2 linked regions of the Coturnix japonica genome follow. The protein of the gene in region 1 binds, or shares a complex with, the protein of each later gene. Links are inferred from orthologs where the notes say so. Each region holds a gene or a part of one and is shown on either strand. Other genes may lie near its edges. The genes, in order: POLE2 and POLE4.

Evidence for each region.
Region 2: POLE2 (region 1) and POLE4 share a complex: the UniProt entries of both Homo sapiens proteins name them as parts of the DNA polymerase epsilon complex. The link is inferred for Coturnix japonica from reciprocal best matches to the Homo sapiens genes POLE2 and POLE4.

Annotation. Positions count from the first base shown.
Region 1 is NC_029520.1:52,273,507-52,284,867, reverse strand, and holds the start of POLE2 (DNA polymerase epsilon subunit 2), read left to right. Parts: upstream 1-1,636; 5' UTR 1,637-1,738; coding exon 1,739-1,806; intron 1,807-2,655; coding exon 2,656-2,756; intron 2,757-4,804; coding exon 4,805-4,880; intron 4,881-6,303; coding exon 6,304-6,381; intron 6,382-7,614; coding exon 7,615-7,708; intron 7,709-9,281; coding exon 9,282-9,356; intron 9,357-10,532; coding exon 10,533-10,616; intron 10,617-11,060; coding exon 11,061-11,117; intron 11,118-11,361. UniProt on the Homo sapiens protein: Accessory component of the DNA polymerase epsilon complex. Participates in DNA repair and in chromosomal DNA replication.
Region 2 is NC_029543.1:370,997-381,561, reverse strand, and holds POLE4 (DNA polymerase epsilon subunit 4), read left to right. Parts: upstream 1-5,724; 5' UTR 5,725-5,741; coding exon 5,742-5,924; intron 5,925-6,060; coding exon 6,061-6,145; intron 6,146-6,252; coding exon 6,253-6,294; intron 6,295-6,753; coding exon 6,754-6,767; 3' UTR 6,768-7,319; downstream 7,320-10,565. Other genes in the region: excitatory amino acid transporter 5-like, read right to left, coding at 1-253; PRAM1 (PML-RARA-regulated adapter molecule 1), read right to left, coding at 1,534-1,538, 1,701-1,735, 1,947-1,980, 2,102-2,264, 2,456-2,549, 2,640-2,694, 2,886-2,998, 3,155-3,200 and 2 more; bone morphogenetic protein 2-like, read left to right, coding at 9,985-10,327, 10,416-10,552. UniProt on the Homo sapiens protein: Accessory component of the DNA polymerase epsilon complex. Participates in DNA repair and in chromosomal DNA replication.

The sequences.
Region 1 (11,361 bases):
GAATGTTTGTAAAAGGACACAAAGTGAGACACGCATCAAGAAGGGAGGACGTTAACTGTTAATGATTGTTAACGTTTAAATGAATAAAAGAAACAATGAGGCACTGGGATGATGGTTAGGACACAGGAAGGAAACATTTGATGGAGTTAAGAAACACATCTGTAAGTCAAGTAGAGAGCTCTGATGTGGTCTCAGAAAGAAACCTTGGGCAGTGTGAAGCAGCTCCTAGGTTTTGCCATGGGATGGATGGGGCATCCACAGTCTCTCTGGGCAGCTGGTCCAGCACCTCACCACCCTATATGAAGAAGTTCCCAACCTAAACCTTCCCTCCTTGAGCTTAACTGATCATAAACCATCAGGCTGAGTCAGCTCTGTCCTCTCCAGCCACGTGTGCTGATACCATAGCACTCATGTCAAGAGTCATTGTGGACTGGAGGCCAAGAGCTGGGCCTGGCTTCCAGAGCACAAGGCAGATGGTTGAGGGAACAGAAATCCGCAGCTCACACTGGAATACTTTTATATCTCTGGTGGGAGGCTCCAGGCAACCGAACAGAACCCCAAGCACTGCAGGGAATTTCCCCCGTGTTCCTGGTTTGGACATGTATTTTAAAAGAAATTACTATTTCTTATGTTCAGAGAGGGCTGCCTTCCTTCTCTGGGTCAGACATTGGCAGCATTGGATTTTTCTTTAAGAAGAAAAGGTGGTAATCTTAGCAAATAGAAGAACTTACATAAGGGTTCATAATTCACACCTAGCTGAGCTGAAAAATGGATCGTGTTTCCTGCCAAAATAGCTGAGACCTGTCAGCTGGTAGTTTTATGTCTAAAGTGAGTAGATAGATTCAGCTTTGCCCATGAGCTTCCTCCAGATGAGGGGGATTGATTATAAATGATGCAGTTGAGAACGGACTACAGAAAATAAGCTGACATTTTCAATCTGGCTTTATATCCCTGCAGTGTTTTGATTGAGGATCTTTTCAGAGTTGCTTTCTGAGCCTTCTATGAAGCAAAGCTGTGCTTCAGCAGATGAGGCTGGGAGTATTTCGGTGAAATATCAGTCAATTTTTGGCTGGAGAGAAGGCAGCTGCCCCACAGGACTGGAACTGCAAGAGGTGCAGCGCATTTACTGTGCTCTGTGCTAGGACTTGCTATGCTGTGACAGACTAAAGATGCTCAATTCCCTGCCTGTGTGAAAAGTCAGTGGTGGGGGCATCTGTAGGATCACAGCATCACTCAGGTTGGAGCAGACCCCAGCCCCAGCCCACCCCGCTGTGCCCACTGCCCACATCCCTCAGTGCCACATCCCCACGGCTCTGGAGCACCTCCAGCACTGCTCTGTATGAGAAGAAAGCTTTCATCCAACCTGACTCGTCTTTACTGATGCTGGAGCATTGACAGTCACTGCTGTGGGGTGATGAACTAAAAACTGAGTGTAACTTATACAGCATGTGGGGCCAACTGACTTTTGTCTCAGTGAACATGTTTGGATGGGACAGATAATATGTCAGAGTGTAAGAAAACAGACCAGGCTCACGGTGTGCCCTTCCTGCTACAGAGCTCACAAGGCAGTGGGTAAAGGCGTTACTACAAGTAAGGCAGGCGGAGTTGGAGCCGGCCGGGCTGGAGCGGCGGAGCCGCAGCTGTACTCGCCATCCATGCCGTCCCGCGGCCTCCTCCCACCCGGGGCAGGGCCAGGGCTGTGGGGCGGCGCGGCGCTGCTGGGCGCCAAACGACAGCCATGGAGCCCGAGCGGCTGCGGCGCCGCCTGAGCTCCGCGTTCCGGGTGCGCGGGCTGCTGCTGCGGGCGTGAGTAGCGGGACGAGGGGAAGGCGGCGCGGGGCGAGTGTGGAGGCGGCTCCAGGCCTGGGCCCGGCTCGGCGGCTCCTCAGGCTGCCCGAACGCCTGCTGCCCTGCCATGGGCCTCTGCCATCCGCCTCCGCCCGCGGCGCGGGTCTAGGGAGCATCAAAAGCTGCTTAAAAGCTCTCCTTTATCCCCTCTCCGATCAGCTGATGCGCTGTTGGGTCGATACTTGTATTTCGCCTTTGAAGATCATGCATAGTGATAGCTCTGTTTTGTACCTGTTGTGAATAGATTGTGATTATTTTGGACGAGGTCCTGGCCATGGAATAATGAGTTTCATTAGGAGACCGAGCCCTGAGCCCACTGTTAAACAGCAATGAGAAGGTTGGGCCGTCAACTGAGGTGCCAGTTTGATTGTCTGGCAGATGATGTTAATAAGAAAATCGTTATCTTTAACTGCAAGTGTGTAGTCTGAGGATGAGGGAAGGAGTGGATTTGTAATTCTCATTGTGTGTGGCCATGTGTGGCACTGAGGGATGCGGCTTAATGGACACAGTGAGGATAGGTTGGGCTTAGAGGCCTTTTCCAACATGACTGATTCTGTGATTCTACAATAACTCCAGTATCAGAGCTGCTGATAAAGTGGAGTGTGTCCTGCAGATGGCAGCTGGGGCTAACATGGGCTTGCAGTACCTGAGGGGTGAGCCAGCCCTTGGGAAGGAAGGTGAAGGTGGTCCCAAAAGGTGCCCAAAAGGGACATGGGGAGTATGCACATCTACCAGAACCGACACCATTCAGATGAGCTTTACTGAACATGAATTGCTTTTTGGGCTGACTTTCTTTGTTGACATTAGGGAAGCTGTAAAATATCTCACTGAAACTCTTCGGTCCCTCAATGAAGAAGAGTTTGAAGATGTAATCGACAAAATCATCGATGCGGTTGAAAAACAGCCTTGTAAGTAAACACTGTTTTTTTCCTAAGCTTGCTACATTTATCTTGCACTTACAGTGTTATTCAGACAGGGGTAGTGACAACTTATGCTCTACAGTGTCACTGTGGTCTAGGAGGTTGATCAAGATTTGTTAACATTTTGTTTTGTTAAATACTGAAGTTTGTAGTGTCAGCAAAAGCTTCTTTGAAAAAACTCTTTGAGAGGGCAGATAACAGCAGGACAAGGGGAAATGGATTGAAGTTGAAAGAGGGAAGATTGAGGTTGGATGGCAGGGGGAAGTTCTTTATTGTGAGAGTGGTGAGGTGCTGGAACAGCTGCCCAGAGAGGCTGTGGATGCCCCGTCCATCCCTGGAGGTGTTCAAGGCCAGGTTGGATGGGGCCCTGGGCAGCCTGGGCTGGTATCAATGTGGAGGTTGGTGGCCCTGCCTGTGGTGGGGGGTTGGAGCTTCATGATCCTTGAGGTCCCTTCCAACCCAGGCCATTCTGTACAAGGTAGTGTCACTTTGTTATTTGAAAAGTTGGCAACTTGGTAGCTCCTGACTTTTGGATTCCAGGAGTATTGAAATTCTTCAATGCCAGCTACTAAGAGCTCCTAGCTGAGTTTGTGTGAGCATCTTTGCATCTGAAACTGTCATCTAAAATATTCAAATAAACCAAAGAAATAGCAAGAAGTTAATTCACTTGTTATTCCGTAGCCCAGGCCCAGAGAAATATTAGTGTTGTTGACAGCTGTAATTTTCAGAGCCTCGCTGTAACTGTGTCCTCAGGCACAGCATCCCTAATTATGGGCCACAGAACACAGGGGTTGTCACATCCTTACTTGAACGTGGCTGAGGGAGGTGGCACCGATGCCCCACACATGTGTGTGTTTAATGTTTTGAGCTCATGAGTACTAGGAAACCTGGCCAGTTTTTTGTGAGAGGAGATTCAGTCCCATGTAAATGAGACCTGGAATAAATGTTAGGCCTTGTAAGAGTTCAGGAAACATTTTCAGCCTCTCCTATTTAAAGTAGGTTAAATAAAATGTGTTCGTTGCTTGCTTGATCTATAGAGTAGCGACTACAGAAGTTACAACTTTATATTCTTACAGTAGCTATTGGAAAACACAGTCGTTCAGATTGGGATCTAAAGCAGTTTGAAGAGCTGGTCCTTACCTAGTGTGAAGCCTGCTGCTACAAATTACACCGTGCACATTTTTGAACAGTTCTGAATCAGTACAAGAAACTCCAGGGTCAGTGTAATACCTGTGGGTGGATTTGCTAACGCTGGCCTTTGTGCAAGGTGGGATTTTCACAGAATCACAGAATCACAGAATGACCCGGGTTGGAAGGGACCTCAAGGATCATGTAGTTCCAACCCCCTGCCTGGCAGGGCCATCAAACATCCACATTTACTAGATGAGGTTGCCCAGGGCCCCGTCCAACCTGGCCTTGAACACCTCCAAGGACGGGGCATCCACAACCTCCCTGGGCAGCCTGTTCCAGGGCCTCACCACTCTCCTAGTGAAGAACTTAGTAAAGAACAGCACCGACCAAGTCCTTTTGTGAATCCATGCCCTGGTGTCCTTCTCAAATTCAACGACACGTTTGTGTTTAGAAATGTTTTTGAATTTCAATTATCAGTTTAACATCTATGAAGGCAACAATGTGCCTGTCTCCAGGATTGTGCTAAGCTGTTTGAATACTTATTTATGACAGCAATCTGTGCAATAATGTTCTGGAATAAAATTAACCTCCAGAATGTGAAAGTTCTCATCTAACACATTTGTGGTGTATTTGGCAGCTTTGTATGAGCTATAATTGTCTTGCTCTCCACGTTTAGTGAATTAAGGGTGGGCACAATATGTGTGTAGGTTAGTTTTTCGCTAGAGAAGCATCCTACCAGTAAGAATACTAAGCGATCCATCCCGTGTGTTGTTACCTTTGTGAAAATACCCTTCTTTGTGTAATAGAGAAGACTCACCCATTTCTTGTAATATATTTCAGACCTCCTTGCTTTCTTACCACTCTCCTTATGCTGCCGTTTTAATCCATTGAACTTTTTTTTCCAGTGTCAAATAATATGATTGAACTGCCCACCGTGGAAGCAGCTGTCCAGGAATGTAGCCAGGCGATAGATGAAACAATGTACGGTGACATTATCTCTTTTTATTTGATCTTTGTGGGAGTTGGTTCACATTGCTTTATTTCTGATGGGGAAATAAATGCCAGGCGTTTCCAGCAGTGCTACACATGCCAGTAATTGCTTTGTGCTTTGTCTTCCTGATGCTGCCTTGGAAGGTTGGTAATGGTTCCTTCTTAGAAAATTGGTTCTCATGGATAGTCCTCTGGGGGATTCTAAATATAATGCTGACATTCTGGAATTAAAATGAGCTCGTTATGTGTTACATGTGACACAGATTGAATATTAACCGATGAAAGAAACCAATGGTTAGGATTTAGAGGGGACTCGTTAATTCTGTTCGTTTCTTTATTTCCTTTTCTCCAGATGAAAATTATATGAGGTTGTTTTTGTGACTTTCATAAGAGCACTTGGAAAAGTTTTCCTCCAGGGTGCTGCTTTCTGCTTTTTTTGTGTGTGTTTTTTGTTTTGTCTGGCAGGGCTGTTATTTGGAGAACCATGATTGATTTTCACTCTCTGATAACAAAGCAGAGAACAATTACTTGAGCTTCTGAGAGTTTTATTTGTGATTGTGATGAATGTGTTTTCTTCAGTGTTTGCCTCGTGTATTGACATCGTAATGCAAATCATGAAAACAGATGGTTTGTTAGGCATGGCAGATACTGTGATCCCACAGTTCCTCAGTGTGAAGCAAATTCATTTATTTTTGACTTTTCTCCCAGTCACTGGAACCTTAATAATGCTGACGGTTTCAAAGTGACTTTTTCTTATGTCACTTCATGTACTTAAATGCGTTTTTTGGTACTGGCTGCACAGGTTCTCACTGCAGAGTCCTGAAGGGAATACTTCACAGGTCACTTGTGCCTCTCAGACTTTAAATTACAATGAAGGAAGCTTGGGGATAAAGTTTCGTACGAAATAAACAGTATGAAGTCTGAGACACCCTTGTCTTATAGGCAGCGACTGTTGTCCTGTGCTTCAAAACCATAGTGAGGGTTCATGGAAAAATTTTCATCTCTTCTGATCAATTTGATGCTCTTAGGCTAAGAGAGTAATGGGAGAGAAGAACAGAACCAGTACATGTAATAGGAGCTATCAATCAACTCAGTCAATGGTTTGAAGTTTTGTGTTTGTTTAAACCTATTCACATAAAGCACACCAGGACTGTTCTGTTGACAGAAAAGGTACCAGAGGATAGTAATGGAAAAAGATGAATCTCTGTGATATTTCTAAGTAAAGCTCCTTTTGTTTTTTGCTTAGAAGGTGCTGAAGTAGCCAGTAGGTAAAGTGGAGCAGGAGATACAGTAGTAATGCAGGGTAATAGAGAACAAAGCCAATGCACTTCTCTTCCAAATGTTTGTTTAGTTATTTTCTCTCCTTATTGTTTGTTAGTTCCACCTCAGTTAATGCTGTAAATTCTCATTTCAGAGAAAATGTTTTCAACATTATTGGAGCCTTTGATATTCCACGCTACATTTATAATTCAGACAGAAAGAGATTTATACCGTAAGTCGTGCATGTTTTAAGCTTCAATTGCTTCTTGTTTTAAGAGAAAGCCTATATTTCTGTATGTCTAAGAAGTCTCTGTTCTCTTCTTTCCCTCTTGGGTTCACTCATCTCAAGCTCGTGTGAGAGAGTAAGATAATTTTGTTTCTCAAAGCCTGACTGACTCTACAGAGGCTGTGATAAATGCTGGCTCATTAATAAATGTGCCATTGGGTTTTCCCCACTAGGTAGGATGGAGCAGAAATGGCCATCTCTGTCTCTGTGGCAGTGCATTCTGTGCTGCCTGCGATCTGACTAGCTCTGAAACTGGAGTGTTCATCACACAATGTGCTAACCATGTTCATGCCATTTAAGGAATACAAGAGACAGGAAGGCTAAGGGCATACATCACTAACATAATGATTGCTTTTTTTCTTTCTGTATTTGGCTGATGGATCTTTTTCCCAATAAATTTGGTCTCTCTGTTGTCTGTATTTATTTTCTAGGCTGTAGCTTACAACGTCCTGAAGCTCTGGGGCGTTTCTAAAGAGACCTACAGTATGTTTAAAATAGAAAAAAATGGAGCGCACAGAGATCCCCCAGGATGGAAAAAGAAATAAGTAGTTGCAGGAATTGGTTACGAATGTTCTGCTAGAACATTTACATTTACTGAAGAATTTACATTAACAGCAAGCAGCCCTGACTGCTGAGCCCAATAGAGGCTTTACTTTTACAGCCGCTGCAGGTGTTGTTAGCTGAGAAATTGTTGGTGACGTTCATGGTGAGGCTTTGCAATGACCTTCATGTAATGTCATTTTCTAGTCCTGGTTCATGAATCTGTCGGTCAGCCACAACATTCTGTGTGTTTGCAGGAGGAGGTTGATTCCAGTGCCACTTTCTGGCTTTCTAGGCTATGAGAAGCAGAGCACTGCATGAAGACATTCTGTTCATCAAAGGGAAGAAACTGTACTTGCTCACAGTCACTTAATAGGCATAAGTGCTTTTAAAGGATGGACTTCTGCAGAGTCCTGATCACATGGAAATACAGGTCTTGAGGTCTGTGATGTAGAGGAAAATTAAATTGATATAGCCTTCAAAAACAGAAACACGGTGGCCCTAGCAGAAATCTTGCTCATTGCCTACATATATTATGCAGTAGTGTTACAGCTTTTGCAGACACCTTTTAAATCAATAAGTAATTTCTGTATGTGGAATGTACCTTTTTTAATCTTGATTTTGTTGAACTTCTTGCAGTCTATCAATGACCAACTTTCCTGTACCAAATTTATTTGGAACTGCCAGAGATAAAGCAGAGTTGTTTCGTGAACGCTACTCCATCTTACAACAGGTCAGAAACAGTTTTGCTTTGTTTAACAGAATACATGGACAAAATGCTTCTTCTTTTCTGCTGTTAAATACAGATATAGTCTTCTCAACTGATGCCATGCAGTGTGATGGATGCATGTGTTTGAGCATTTTAGCATTGTGTCATAAGAGCAGGTTATCTGTTTCTATATGTGCCTTCTTGTCTCTCCTGTGTTACTAGCCTGTCATTGTGCGTAGTGCTTGTTGAGATAATACAAACCTGAAATCCTGGGAAGCTCTCATTTGGCCTCTTCTTGAAGCATTGACGTTTGCTTCTGGCTTATTTCAGTTATTCATTTTCCAGTTTTCAGAATGCTCAGTAGGAGCCAGCTACCCTTTGTCATCTCATGGTGGCAATTGTGGCTTATCCCCAGTTGTGAGCAGCTCCTGAGCAGAACTCCCCAGCAGGGCTTACTTTGCACTGCTGTGGGGGTGGTAGCCACAGTTATTGGCAGCATCTGTAGGTGGTGGCCCTGTGCAGTCTGTGCACTCAGCTTGGAGTCAGCCTCTGGGCTCATCCCTGAGCAGGACCTCAGCTCAGTTCTTTCCTGCCATCCACTCTCCCCACACATTGGAGTGTAACCCCTCTGTGCTTTGCCCTGCAGTCTGGCATGAGCAGTATAAGATCAGGGAGTGAATGGCTGATGTGATGACTTGTTGTTTATGATGTGTCTGCTCTAACAGATGCGCAGCACAGATCATGCCTTGTGCTAGCAGGCTCCATGCAGCCCCAACCCCAGTGAACCACCAGGAGGCAGGCAGGCAGCGAGCCCAGCTTTTTGCTGTGCCACCCCACAGTGACTAGCTTGGCCTTTGGACCAGGGTTACATACCCCAGGGCACCAGCAACTCTGTCTTCCAAAGAGTGCTACTGCTGGGAGCCTCTGTCCTGGAAGGCCACTAGCTGAAGATTTAGTTCATGCAAACAGTATGTTAAGTTTTCTCCTTTGTGACCTCCAGAAAAGTGAACGTTCAAATAACGATGGGTGAAGGCTGCTAGTTTTAATTCCTGCATGTGGTACATGGGCTGGTAGCAATGGGTTTGTTCCAAGGAGAGATATTTAGACTGCATGAAGAACATTGAAAGAAGTGAAAATTTGCACAGTGCATTTTCTACGTGCTCTGCACTTTAGTTGTAGTGTAGCTTGCCCTTGTTTGTAAATGAAGACCTCAAACACAAAACAACAATAAAAAGTATTTGCTTTTATAATAGGCCCTGCCCTGAAGAAAGGACCCGCTCTCTTCCATATAGCCAGCAATCAATACAGTTTACCTTCCCTTGCTGTCTCACTGTTTTCCTGCAGGTAGTCAGAAAGAACTTCTAAAGCTATTACACATGCATCTACTTTTTGGGCTTAGTTTTATAGTCCAGTGTGAGTCTATTTCTTAGAAGCAAATTACTGTCAACACAACTGGTTGTGCGAAAACAAGTCAAATGTTTCTGGATGAAATAGAGTGAGAGAACTTCATAAATTATTTTGTATGGTGCTTGTAAATGAACCTTTTGACAGCACTGCTTTTTTTAAAACTATATTACTTCAATTTTGGTTTGTGCAGAGGACTCACAGACATGAGCTGTTCACACCTGCAGCAGTTGTCGTTCATCCTGACGACAGTAGGAGCAAATTCCAGGTAAAAAGTCTTTCTTTATTTCTTGCAGAGGGAACTGTTCTTGGTGCTACACTTTAATGCAGCAGCACTCCTCCTGTGACACATTATTTCTTCCATCCAATATGGGTGATCAATGAAAATGAGTATTTTTTTCTATCATTTTTAGCTGGTGTGTCAAAATGGCAGTTATGTGGCTTACATCAGCATGATGACCAAGCTGCTTAAAAACAGCTATGAAGTGTACGAGAAATGTGGCTTCCCAATGTGGAAATACATTAACTGCTCAGCTTTACACTTCTTTTCCCTTTACTTGAGAATATTTTTCTCGTTTCTTTCATAAGCACCAGGTTCACAAACCTCCACTTGAATAAGTTCACAATCTGAGTCTGTTCTGTTTCCATTTCAGTTTTTGAATATTGAATGCTGTTCTGATATTACATTATTATTATGTGTTTTTAAAAAAAACAGGCATATGTGTGTCTGTGGGTACCAAATAACAGGTTTTGTTTTGAGCACCGTGCCTGTTCCTGCTTGTTCAGAGTGTGCCATCTTGTAGGGAAAAAAAACAAGTGGCCTTAGCTGAGTCGAGCTTGCATCTCCACACAGCCTCTGTAGGCATCTTTCTCTTTTGACAGCTTCCTATTCTCCTGTCAGCAGTGGCAAGAGCATCATTGTTTATGCTGGTGTTCTGGGAGGATCGTCTCCCTTAACTGCAGCTTGGCAGACCAAAATGAGTTTGTCCGGAGAACGCAGACAGCCTGCTGTGTGGTATCACTGCTGTTACTCAGGGCTATTCTCTGTCATCCATCTGAGGTTCCTCAGCAAAAATAATTGATGTTACTGCCTGGCTGGAGGCTGGCCCTGTGGTTCACATCGGATCCTGCTGAAGATCCAGTTACTACAATTGAAATTCATATGCAAGAGCAGAAATTGCCACTTACTCTTTTCAGTTTTAATGTTTTTGTAAGCAAAATAGCAACAACAAATATTTACTTGCTAAGCACTTCTTGGTGCTACATTTGACATTCAGAAATGTGTCCCTGATTTTCTAATGAACCTGAATTCTGTCTTAGCTTGTTTGTGTATTTATGCAAGAATATGTGTGTGTGCTGTGTGATACTTTGTCTTGCTTGCTTCAAAAAAGCTGCTTTGGAGACTTGGAGTTAGTCTGACATGATTCTTTGCCTTTGGTTCCAGCTTAAAACAGTAGAAAGTCTGTTGGGCAATACAACGAAAGTGAGGGAAGTGATTGTCCTTGGGATGATAACTCAGCTCAAGGAGGTAAGTTGCTATTTACTGTGGACTGTACAGATCATCAGTCATTCAGCACTAGAATATATTAGAAAATGAGGAGGCTCAGTCAGCACCTTACCCTCCTGTATAAGCTGATGATGGAGCTGCCATCAGTGTCTATGGTGAAAGACTCATTCCTTAAAAAGAGGTTAACATTTTCTGGGTGTGCTCAATACTGAAATGCTGAGGCCTCCAATCACTGTGTTTCAGTGGCACTGCATTGGCCTGTGATTAAAGGGAGGAGTACACCAGCAGTGTCTGAGAGGAAGTCTAACATAAACTACACTGCTTTCTGTTCCAGCTCTGTGCTCCAAGTATAAAGTATTAAACACTTCACTAAACTGCTTATAAGTGCTGACTGGTAAATATTTGTGATTAAAGCCTTTAAATGTTTCGTTATACTTTGCTTCAGTAATTAATCCTGTTTTTTAGGGGAAGTATTTCCTAGAAGACCCTACAGGAGCTGTCCAGCTAGATCTTAGTAAAGCAATATCCTTTATATATGATCCAAGAGTTGAATAAATTCCCTGTATGTCTGGAGGTGCTTAATTTAAATAACACATCCATACTGACCATTAAGAATGATGTAGAGAGTTGCAAGTTGCAGCTCCATCTTTTTCTTTCTTTTACAAGTTTCATGGTTGCTGGAGCTCAGTGCCCTTTTGAAGGACAAGGACAGCATCCCTGCTGGTGGAAGCAGAGCGTGTTCCTGTTTGTGTGCTGTTTGTATTAC
Region 2 (10,565 bases), on another chromosome or scaffold:
GCAGCTCTCCAGGAAAGGAGAAGTACTGCTTCTCCTGCAGGGAGCAGAGCGTTGGGAGGGGTGGGAGTGGGGAGGGGTGCACTGGTTGTGGGTGAAAGGCTCCAACTGGGCAGATTTGCCCAGATCCATCCATCCACCCATCCATCCCTCCATCCCTCCATCCTCCACCCAACCTTCCCCAGTGCCACGTGGATTTGTTGGACTCCCTGGGGCGGGGGCAGCGGGATGCTGCCTCTCTCATGGCCACGTGCATTGGGGTGCAGTGGGATTACACCCCGCTTCGGTTAAGTCAGATCATCCTCGCTGCGGGCAGTAATGCTGCGGGGTGTAATTGAAGTGACAAATGCCAAATCCTCGCAGGTTACGCGGGGCTGAGCGTCCCACAGATCAGCGCTGAGTTAAAACCGCTGTGATTTTAATGGCTCATTGGGAACAGGAGGGGACCCCCGGGAACCCGGTGTGTTTTGTGCCGGGACTCGCCTGGATGCCGAGCACGAGCAGTGGAGGAGCTGCGGGATTCCGGCACTGCTGCCCTGTACCGTGGGGCGGCCCCGAGCAGGGAGCAGCGCCCAGCGCAGCGCTCAGGGCAGCGGCTGCCTCCCCCCACCCACCCCCTGCAGCCCCGCGGGGTCCCGGCGGAGGGACGCGGGATTTGGGGCCAAAATACGAAGAAAACACGCCCGTGAGATGCGGTTCTCCCCGGCAGAACATCCCGCGCTCTCCGGGCCGATCCTTCCTGCGCTCCCCTCGCTCCCAGCCCGTCCTTACCAGCTCCGTCAGCTCCAGCGCCCGCAGCAGGAAGCCCAGGAGGCAGCCGGTGCCCACGGACAACATGGACAAGGTCAGGAGCCCGTTCCTGCGCCAGAAGGTTCGGAGCTGCGCCCCGAGCTGCGCGGAGCCCATGGACAACGAGCCCAGCAGCGCCGCGCGGGCGCGCTCCCACATGGCCCCGCTCAGCAGCGGCTCCGCACCCCGCGCATCGCAGCCCTCGCTGTGCCAGCCCCTAATCCAGCCCCAGAGCTGCCTCGGGAGCCCTTCCCGTAATGGAAAGTGACGTCCTGCGCTGCTTAATCTGGGCTCGGCAGTGGGTGAGCGCGGGGGGGGGGTTAACCCTTCCCTGCTGCCCGCACCCCGCGGGGCCGCGTCCACATGGAGCGCGGATGGAGCGAGGATGGAGCGAGGATGGAACGAGGATGGAGCGAGGATGGAGCGAGGATGGAGCGAGGATGGAGTGAGGATGGAGTGAGGATGGAGTGAGGATGGAGTGGGGATGGAGCTCCGTTCCCAGCCCCGAAGGATCCGTTCCCGGACCCGGAGGCGTCATTCAGGCACTGAATCCATCCCCGTCCCAAAGAACCCAACCAAACACCACAGAGACCAGACAAATCAGCGCCACGTTTCACACCAATCAAACAAAGCGCCGCGGGCTCCATCTGAACCACCCTCCCAAACCTCTGCGCTGCAGGACCGGCCCTCGCAGCCCCTCCAGCATCGGAGCTTCAGCCCTCAGGGTCCGGTGGTGCTTCGGGTCGGTCACTCTGCCGGTGGGAACGTTGACCCATCAGCACCGCAGTGATGCAGCCGCTCCCATTTGGGCTGCACAGCGCTCAGCGGGGCTCCGTGGGGGACTCGAGGGACGTGGGGGGCTCTGCTGCTCTGCTTGGGGCACGTGGGACCGGCAGGGCTTTACTCACACCTACCGCACAGATCAACATCATCGTAGATGTCCGTGTCCCTGTGGGGGAAAAGCTGTGAGTGCTCCAGGACCCCGCAGCCCCCACCGCGACGGGGCAGCCCTGCCCCATCTCTGCCCCATCTCTGCCCCTTGTGCCCCCCCGGGCAGCTCCTCCGCAGAGCTGGGACACCAGGTTGTCCTCAGAAGGGGCCACATCTCCCTGCGGCCGCTGTTGGTGCCGGGAGGAAGGGCTGGGGAAGGAGATACTCACAGATGCAGCATCGCAGCGCGGGGCACGTAACCGTCTGCAATAGAGTGGGGAGAAGCATTGGGGGGGGGGGAGGCTGGGAGGGAGCAGAGCAGCTCCAGGGATGGAGCTGGGATCCCTCAGGAGCGATGCTTTGTGTGGGGCAGCGGCCGACTTACATCTCCGCTGGCTGTTCCTGCAGAGAATCTGCTCCTTGTTGGTGAACTGAATGACATCGAGGATCTCACCCCGTCTGAGCGGGAGGTTCTTACCCCCTCCCCTCTTCTCCGTCGTTGCGGGGTCGACCATCATCCGGGTCAGGACGGTGATGTTCCCTTCGAACTGAGACACGAGCAGAGTTTGGCTGCCTGAGCTCCAACTGCCTCCTCTATGGGGCAGCACGGCGCTGAGGGCTCGGTCTGCCCTGGGGGAGCCTCGATGGGGCGGCCGGCTGGGCACCAGCTGCTCTTGGAGCACGCAGCCCCTCTGCACAGCGAGGGGGAGCTGGGAAGGAAAAGCTCCTGGCTGCTCACCTTGAATTTCTTCTGAAACTCCCGGTCTGCTTTCTCTTCCTTCTTGCATTCCTTGAGTGTCATTGGCTTTGCCTTCCAGGAGCTCTGAGCTCCTCTGCAGAGACGTTGTGAGTGCTGGGAAGGTTTGGCTCCTCCCGCTGCCCCCCTGGTGCCCTGGCCCAGAGGTTCTCACCCCCCTCATTACCTTTGTGCAGCAACCAGCAGCGCGACCGTGCTGGGGGCCTGAGCAGCACCTCCCCCTGTAAAACCAAGCATGGAGAGGGCTACGCAGGGTGGTGGGGGCTGAGAGCATCACTTCCCATGGCCTCCAGGGTGCCCACACACCCTGAGTGCATCTGCACCCCTTAGACAAGCAGGGCTGGTGTCACAGGCCCCACCGGGCAGTGGGGGCACCTCGTCCCCCCCGCCCCACACCCCCCTTTGCCCCCACCTCCTCTGGGCTGCAGATGCGTTGGCGGCCGGAATGTGGGGGGCGGCGGGAAGCTTCGGTCTCTCCCGAGCAGCTCAACGCTCTCAACGTCATCGTAGATCTCCTCCCCACCGCTGGGATGGAGCAGAGCACCGTCAGGGAGCCCAGGATGGAGTGTGCACCGCCGGGGGAGCATCACGGGGGTCCCGGCCCACCCCCCACCATCCCACTTCATGCTTTTCCCACTCGGTCAGAGACCCCCGAAATAAAAGTCCCTCCCCGGTACTGACCCTGCTGCGCTCTGAGCGTCCCGCGGTGGGAGCTGCGTTGTGTGACCTGGGGGCAGAGGGAGCAACCACAGGTTGCACTGGTCCAGCGAGGGACCAGAAGGCAGCCGGGTGTGCGGCCCCCCATCCCCACCCTGTACCCATCCCCATCCCCACCCTGTACCCATCCCCATCCCCACCCCGTACCCAGCACAGCGCTCCGTGGCCCCGCAGCGGCCCGGCCGGGCTCCCCGTGGGGTGCAGCCCGATGGAACTTCTTCAGATCCACCCCCGGAGGCCGCCGTGGCTTTGCCGGCCTCGCTCCCAGCAGCGCAGCGTGAGGCAGCGGCTTCCTGCGCGGGGGGTGCCCCGAGCCCCGGATTCCACCGGCAGCGGCTGCGCCCGCGGCGGGGAGCGACGGAGCGGCCGCGTCATTGAGCGGCGGCCATTTGTGCGGGGGTTGGTTCCTCGGGGGGGGGCGGGAGGCGGCTCCGAGCCCCTTGTTGTCCGCGTCCCGTCCTCCCGGTTTGGCAGCCGGGGGGTGGGAGGCGGCGCTCGGAGCGATGCCCTTCTTCAGCCGCTCCATCCACTCCGGGCTCTGGGGGGCGGGCGTCGGACGGGAGCCGGGACCCTCGATGTGAGCTTTGCCGCGGGGCGCAGCGGTTCTGCTGAGGCCCATCGTCCCGGCGAGGGGGGACGAGGGGGGCGGTTCGCCCTTGGAGCCCGACGCGGGCGCCCGTCCCGTCACCGTCGCGAGGAAAACTGCGGGGGGACCCCGCGCCCGCCCGGTCGCTGCGGGAGGTTTCACGCCGTCCTTCAGCTTCGCTCGCAGGTGTCGCCCCGCCGCCTCTTTACCGTCCGGGTGCTCCTGCGGGACCGAGGGAAGCTCCGGTTCAGCCGTTACGGAGGAAAACTGAGCCCGTGCCCCGCGGGGAACGCGACCGCTGAGCCCCGACGGCGCTGCCGGAACACGCTGCGCTGAGGGCAAAAAAAAACCCAAACCAACAACAGAAGAAAAGAGGCCGAGAGGCGGCGGATCTGCCCCAATTCTGTGACCGGAGCGTTTCCTGCCGCTCACCCCGCGATGGGGGCACGGAACTGGGGCGCGCGGCCGCAGCGCGGGGCTGTGCCACGATCCCGGCTCGGATCCGCGCAGGGCGAGCTGCGCTTCTCCCCTCCGGCTCCTCTCCCCACCCAACCTCTCCCTCTCCCCCTTACCCCCCCCCCCCATCGCGTCTCTCTCTCTTTAGTTCTCCTCCTCCCGGGATTTCGGTTCGTTTTGCTCTTGCATCACTTTGTTTTCTTTCACAACAGAACGGCCGGAGCGCAGAGAATCCAGCGCGACATTTTCAGCCGCGGGATCTCAAATGTGGGGCATTAAATAATGTGAAATTGGTGTTAAAAAGGGGCAGGTGCCCCCTGGTCCCGGGGCAGAACCCACGGGGGCTCAGCAGCGCACGTTGCCCACGTTCTGCACGGACGGCAGCGAAAAAACGGTGGAAAATGGGATTTGTGCTCGGAGGGCACCGAGGGCTCCAGCTGGGACCCGTCCCGGTGTTTGTGGCCGCTCCGTGAGCCGGGACGCGGAGCTGCCCGCGATGGCGCCGTCGGGGCAACGGCGCCGCTGTCACTGCGACCTGAGCAGCGTCTGGCACCGCGATGCTTTGTCCTGTCTGAGCCCACCCGGTGCTGACCCATCCCGGGAGCTGCTCGGGGGGCTCCGGAGCTGCCACTGCCCCCAGCCCGGTGCGGCTGTGACGATGTGCGGGTGCGGGTCGGACCATTCGCGCTCACCATTTCCCATCCACGGACGCGTCCTATGGGCTCTCCTCCCTCCTGAGAACCGTGCGGGCCGTCCGAGCCGAAGGAGCCGAAGGAGCCGAAGGAGTTGAAGGAGCTGAAGGGGCTGAAGGGGCTGCAGGAGCTGCAGGAGCTGCAGGAGCTCAGCCCGCCCGGCACTGAAAGCAGAAGCTGTTTCCTAACGTTGTGTTGGTGCGGGGCTGCGCGCAACGCCAGGAAGCGGCTGCGGCCTGAATGTGAGAGTGGGGGGGGGGGGAGGAGATGCTGCTGCCCCGTCCAGGAACCGACGTGGGCTCAGGGAGCGACCCCGGGCCGCAGCATCGGCACAGGAGGGATCGGGCCGGGGGGGAACGGGCTGAGCGGAGCCCCGTCCGTGTCCGTGGGTGATGGGGGGTTATGGGGACTGCGGGGCTGCGTTTGGGGCACAGGGGGGCGGAGAGCCGAATTTGGGGCACAGAGCGGAAGTTTGGGGCACAGCGGGGCCGGAGGGCGGGATGTGGGGCACAGAGCGGGTGGGGGGCGAGTTCGGGGGCGGCGGGAGGACGGAGAACCCGGCCGGGGATGCGGGAGGGGCCCGGTCCCGTGCGGGGCGCCCGGCTCCGCGGCACAGACAGACACAGCGCCCCCCAGCGGCACAGACAGACACAGCGCCCCCCAGCGGCACAGACAGACACAGCGCCCCCCAGCGGCACAGAGACACAGCGCCCCCCAGCGGCACAGAGACACAGCGCCCCCCAGCGGCACACAGCGATGACAGCCGGCGCTCCGCTCCGCCCCGCAGGCAGCACTCACTGCGCATGCGCGTTGCGGGATGGCGGCGGCGGCGGGGCCGGAGGCGGCGGCGGAAGATGCGGGAGGAGCGGGACCGGGAGCGGGACCCGGAGCGGCGCGTGGTGCCAGGCTGCCGCTGTCACGGGTGAAGGCGCTGGTGAAGGCGGACCCGGACGTCAGCCTGGCCAGCCACGAGGCCGTGTTCGTGCTGGCGCGGGCCGCGGTGAGCGGCGGGGGCGGGCGGGGCAACGCGGGGCAGTGCGGGGTAATGCGGGGCAGCCTCCGGTCCGTGCCGTTCTGTCCCGGTCTGTCCCGTTCCGTCCCGTTCCGTCCGTGTGACGCTCGTGCTCGCCCCGCAGGAGCTGTTCGTGGAGAACATCGCTAAGGACGCGTTTGTGTTCGCCCAGCAGGGGAAGAGGAAAACGCTGCAGAGGAAGGACCTGGGTACGGGGCGGAACCGGGGGGGGGGGTCCGAAGAGAAGAGAAACGTCCCAGCTCTTCCCGGTTGGCCCTTCTGTCTGTGTCGGCACTGAGCCCTTTTCCCTTTGCAGATAACGCCATTGAGGCTGTTGATGAGTTCGCTTTTCTGGAGGGTGAGTTTCGGTTTCCCCCATTAGTCCATAATCCCTTTCAAAGCAGCCCCGCATCCTCCTATATCCCTCCTATATCCCTCCTATATCCCTCCTATATCCTTCCTGTATCCCTCCTGCAGCCCCATGGTCTCACTATCTGGGTCTGTATCTGGGCCTTCCAGCCCCACACCCCACTTATAGCCCCCCCTATAACCCTACAGCCTCCTATAGCCCCCCCCACTGCTCCCTGTAGCCACATATTCCTCTATATCCCTGGTACAGCCCCCCATAGCCCCATGCCCCCCTGTTTCCCCCCCATACTCCCTTTATCTGGGCCTTTTAGCCCCACATCCCCATATAGCCCCCTCCATAGACCCACAGCTCCCTATAAACCCGAGTTCCAGCTGTTCTTGTAGCTGTGTTTCATTTTCCTTTCTGGTCCCTGAGGCTGCTTTGCTTCATCGTTGTTTTTGTTTCCAGGCACTTTGGACTGAGCTGCTCAGCAATGGGGTTCTGTGCAGATGGGTCGGCCGGCACCGGCTGCACTTCCCAGCAGTGGGACACCAATGTGGGCAGCCGCGGTGCTTTGTGTAACGACTGAGTGTCTGTAAGATCTTTGTTGAAAGCTTTTGTTGTAAGTATTTTGTAGGACTCTGACCTCCTTGTTCTGCTGCTGCTCCCCAGCCCTGCCCCCCCCCCAGGCACCATGGAGCAGAGCTGAGCTCCCGAGGCAGCTCCCTGTTGGTTTATCCCACCTGCTGGTCTGTAGATACATTATTGAAGTGGATGTTTTGGTCTCTGTGTGTTTTGTTGGGTTCCTTTTTGGCCAGTGCAATTAAAGGCGGAGCTGTTTTGAGTGGCTGTTCTGAGTGATGCTGCTCTGTGCTGCTCTGCTGTTCCTGTGGCACAGATGCAGTTTGGAAGGGATGCTCCGCTCCAGGCACACAGATGAGCTGCAGAGAGGCTCGTGTTGCTGTTAGGGCTGCATGGCTCCATCAAGTTCTGCGATGGTCACAGCTGGACAGTAATAAATCCCTGCTTTTGAAGGCGTTGCCTGCCGTGTTTCACTGCTCTTCTCCTTTGCTCTCATTGCTGAACCTGGCCCTTCTCCTGTGCGTGGATCTGCTGGGCTGTGCTGCAGCCCTCCCTGCCCTTGCCAAAGCACAGCGTGTGGCCCATGAGCTGTCCTGCTTTGGGCAGAGCTGCACGGTGCCTTCCTTGCCAGCAGGTTCCTTTTGCTGCCCTCGGGGCTGATTCAGGCCCATTGAGCACAGGGCCCATAGGGGTGCCTGGTTTTGTGTCTGATCTCTCCCTGCTGTGCTTTGCTGGGCAGCATCGCCTGCTCACAGCAGGTCAATCAGGGTTTGTCTTTGGGCTGAGCCCACGAGCAGAGGCTCAGGGATGCTGTGGGGTGTCCTGACAGGACAAAATGGGTCCCTTTGTTCACCGTGGGTCTGTGGCCTTTGGGAGCAGCTCTGGATTCAGTTACACATGCAGCTGTAAAGTGTTGGCCACTAAAGTGGTGCCAAAGTCACTTAGAGATGAGAACTGCAGCCTCAGTTGTCCCAGACAGAGCAAAACCTGCTGGGCTGAAGCAGAGCGGGGCCCTTCGGTGCTGCACTGAGTCAGAGGGAATGGAATGGCTGGTGGCATCCACCCCATGGGGGTCTGCAGGGACACACGGGCAGCCTCAAGTGCTCATTTCCAGGGCTGGGAGAATCCGTGCACCCCACAGGTGTGACAGGAAGGTGCAGTTGTCCCCGGGGTGGCTGATGGTGCCTCATTGGGTGATAACGGCCCAGCTGGGAAATGCCGACTGACCCCCCCCCCCTTCAGCTGGGTTTCCCTTTGCCCCAGGGCCACTTTCCTCCTGCATTTCTGCTGTCCAAGATGAATGTTTGCTGCTGGCACAGGAGGAGGGGGGCTCTGGGGGAGGCTGTTACCATTCTCTGCCTGCACATTGCTTGGAAACCAGCATGAGTTGGTCACAGCATGGAGAGCTGTGGGATGAAGGAGCAATACCTGCCCACAGCAGCCTGGGCTGTGCTGCTCTTGGGGGGGTCTGCCCTTTATTGCCCCTCAGCCATGAGGGATCGTGATTAAAACATCCCCCATTCCAGCAGTCCGGGGCTCTCATAAGGAGTCACCATCCGTACTTGAAAGCAGCCGACAGCCTTCAATGGGGATGGGGGATTCTTTCCAAAGCCAAGTGAGGGAGCTGAGAGGGGTTTATTTGGGAAACAGTTGTGGTGGTTGGATGCTGCATCCCCAAAACCTCCTTGGTTGGGTCTGCCTGCCCTGGGCTGTGTATTGGGGCCGTCCCCCGGGGTGTCCCCAGCGTGGTGCTGAGGGGGATCTTCGTGCCTTTGTGTTGCAAATCTGTGCAGGAAATTGAGGTGGGAAGGAGCTGGGGCCGCTGCTCCTCGGGGGATCCCGCCTGCTTAGGTAAGCACAGCTGCCGGCTGCCCCAGCCCACCGCCCTGCAGTGATGCCCTGCAGCTCCTGGGCTGATTCTGGGGGTAACAGCTGAGCGGATTCAGGGCAGCACCCTCTGCTTTGGCTGCATCCATCCCTGCAGTGGAGTGGGCTGCAGAATAACCCGATGGAGCTGCCGGTGCCATCCCCTGCCCGCAGTGCCATCGGAGCCCGTGGGGTGGGATGGGGACAGGAGAGGGATGCTCTGCTGGTTGGTTCAGGCCGGGAGGGGGCAGATCAACCCCCAAAGGCAGAAATCCCAGCTCTGCGTGGGCACTTTGAGCTCCACTGGGAGGAAGGGACAGACCCTTGGGTGAGGAAGGCAGAGCTGGGCACAGGGGATGGGGGACATCCAGCCCTGTACAGAAGTGGGCAGGGGTGGCCGTCCAGCAGTGCGGCGGGGGGGGGTTCATCAGGTGGGGCCACTGTGAGACCCCTGCCAGACTGTCTGTGCTGTATGTAAATGGCAGAAGGTGGCTTTTATCAATGAGAGCCGCTGGTTTCAATGAGAGCAGCACTCGTTGGAAATGAACCCTCTGCAAAATGCTTGGCAGCTTGTAAGGTAAACATTGCAGGCAATTGGCAGCTCTGCCCCAACGTCCCGGGATGCTGCCCTGCACGTGTGGTGTCTGGCAGCTGCTCTGTGCACAGCATGGGCAGAATGTGGGCAGGAGGGGAATGGGGGGGTGGGCACCTCGGGGCTGTGTGGGGAGCAGCCCTGGTCCTATGGGATGCTGGCGGGCAGGGAAGGGGAAGGAAAGGATGTGAAGAGTTTCCTCTGCCAATTAACCCCAGCCTGTGGTCACCTCTCTGTGTATTCTGGATAATTAATGGCCCTTTCACCATTGGAATGTGGGGTTGGGGTAGAGGACAGATGGCAGCTGGCCGTGCAGCTCGGGGTGCACTGTGTGGATGTGCACAAGCAAGAGGTGGGCTCTGATCCCAGCACAGAGACCCTACAGCCACGAACTGCATGGGAACAGGAGGGGATGCGGCCCGGTCCAGCCTGGCTGCGGTTGTTCCTGTTGGTCCCATTAGTGCTGTCATTAAAATCCAGTTAATCTCCTATGCAAAGCAAAGGCAGTCAGGGCAGCCTTGCAGAGGGGCACAGCTGGACCCTTGTCCTTGTCCCCCAGCCCTCCCCTCCCGTTGTGTACTGGGGCTAATTGGTGCAGGGTGCCCGTCTTTGCACCTTGTTAGCATGGCTATTAGCTCTCTTTACCCTCCTGATTGCCCATGTGCATATTTGACTCCAATCCATCTTTCCAGCCAGTTATAAATGCTGGGCTGGGGTTGCAGAGGGGAGTCTGGCTGGGGCTGGGACACAGAGCCATGCTGGGCGCTGTGCTGCTGCTGCTGGCCTTGGCACGGCCGGCGTCCCCGGAGAGCCGCAGGGCTGAGGCTCTCAAGAAGCTGCTGGAAGTGTTTGGCATGGAGGACCCCCCGCCGCCCCCAGCCCACGTCAAACAGCCGCCGCAGTACATGGTGGATCTGTTCAACGCGGTGGCCAACGCCGACGGCGTCACCAAAAACCCCGACGTCCTGGAGGGCAACACGGTCCGCAGCTTCCTGGATAGAAGTAAGGGGGGGGGTCCCTGCGGTGCTGGGGATGGGGGCTGTGGGATGGGGCCGTTTGGTCTCACTTCCCAACCTGTCCCTCCCTGCAGCTCACAGCGAGAAGATGCGGTTCCTCTTTGTGCTCTCCAGCGTGGCCAAGAACGAGAAGATCCTGACGGCGGAGCTGCACCTCTTCCGTCTGTGGCCGAGAGCCACTGAGGGGCCCAGGAGGCACCACTTCTGTCAGGTGAGCCCCAAAA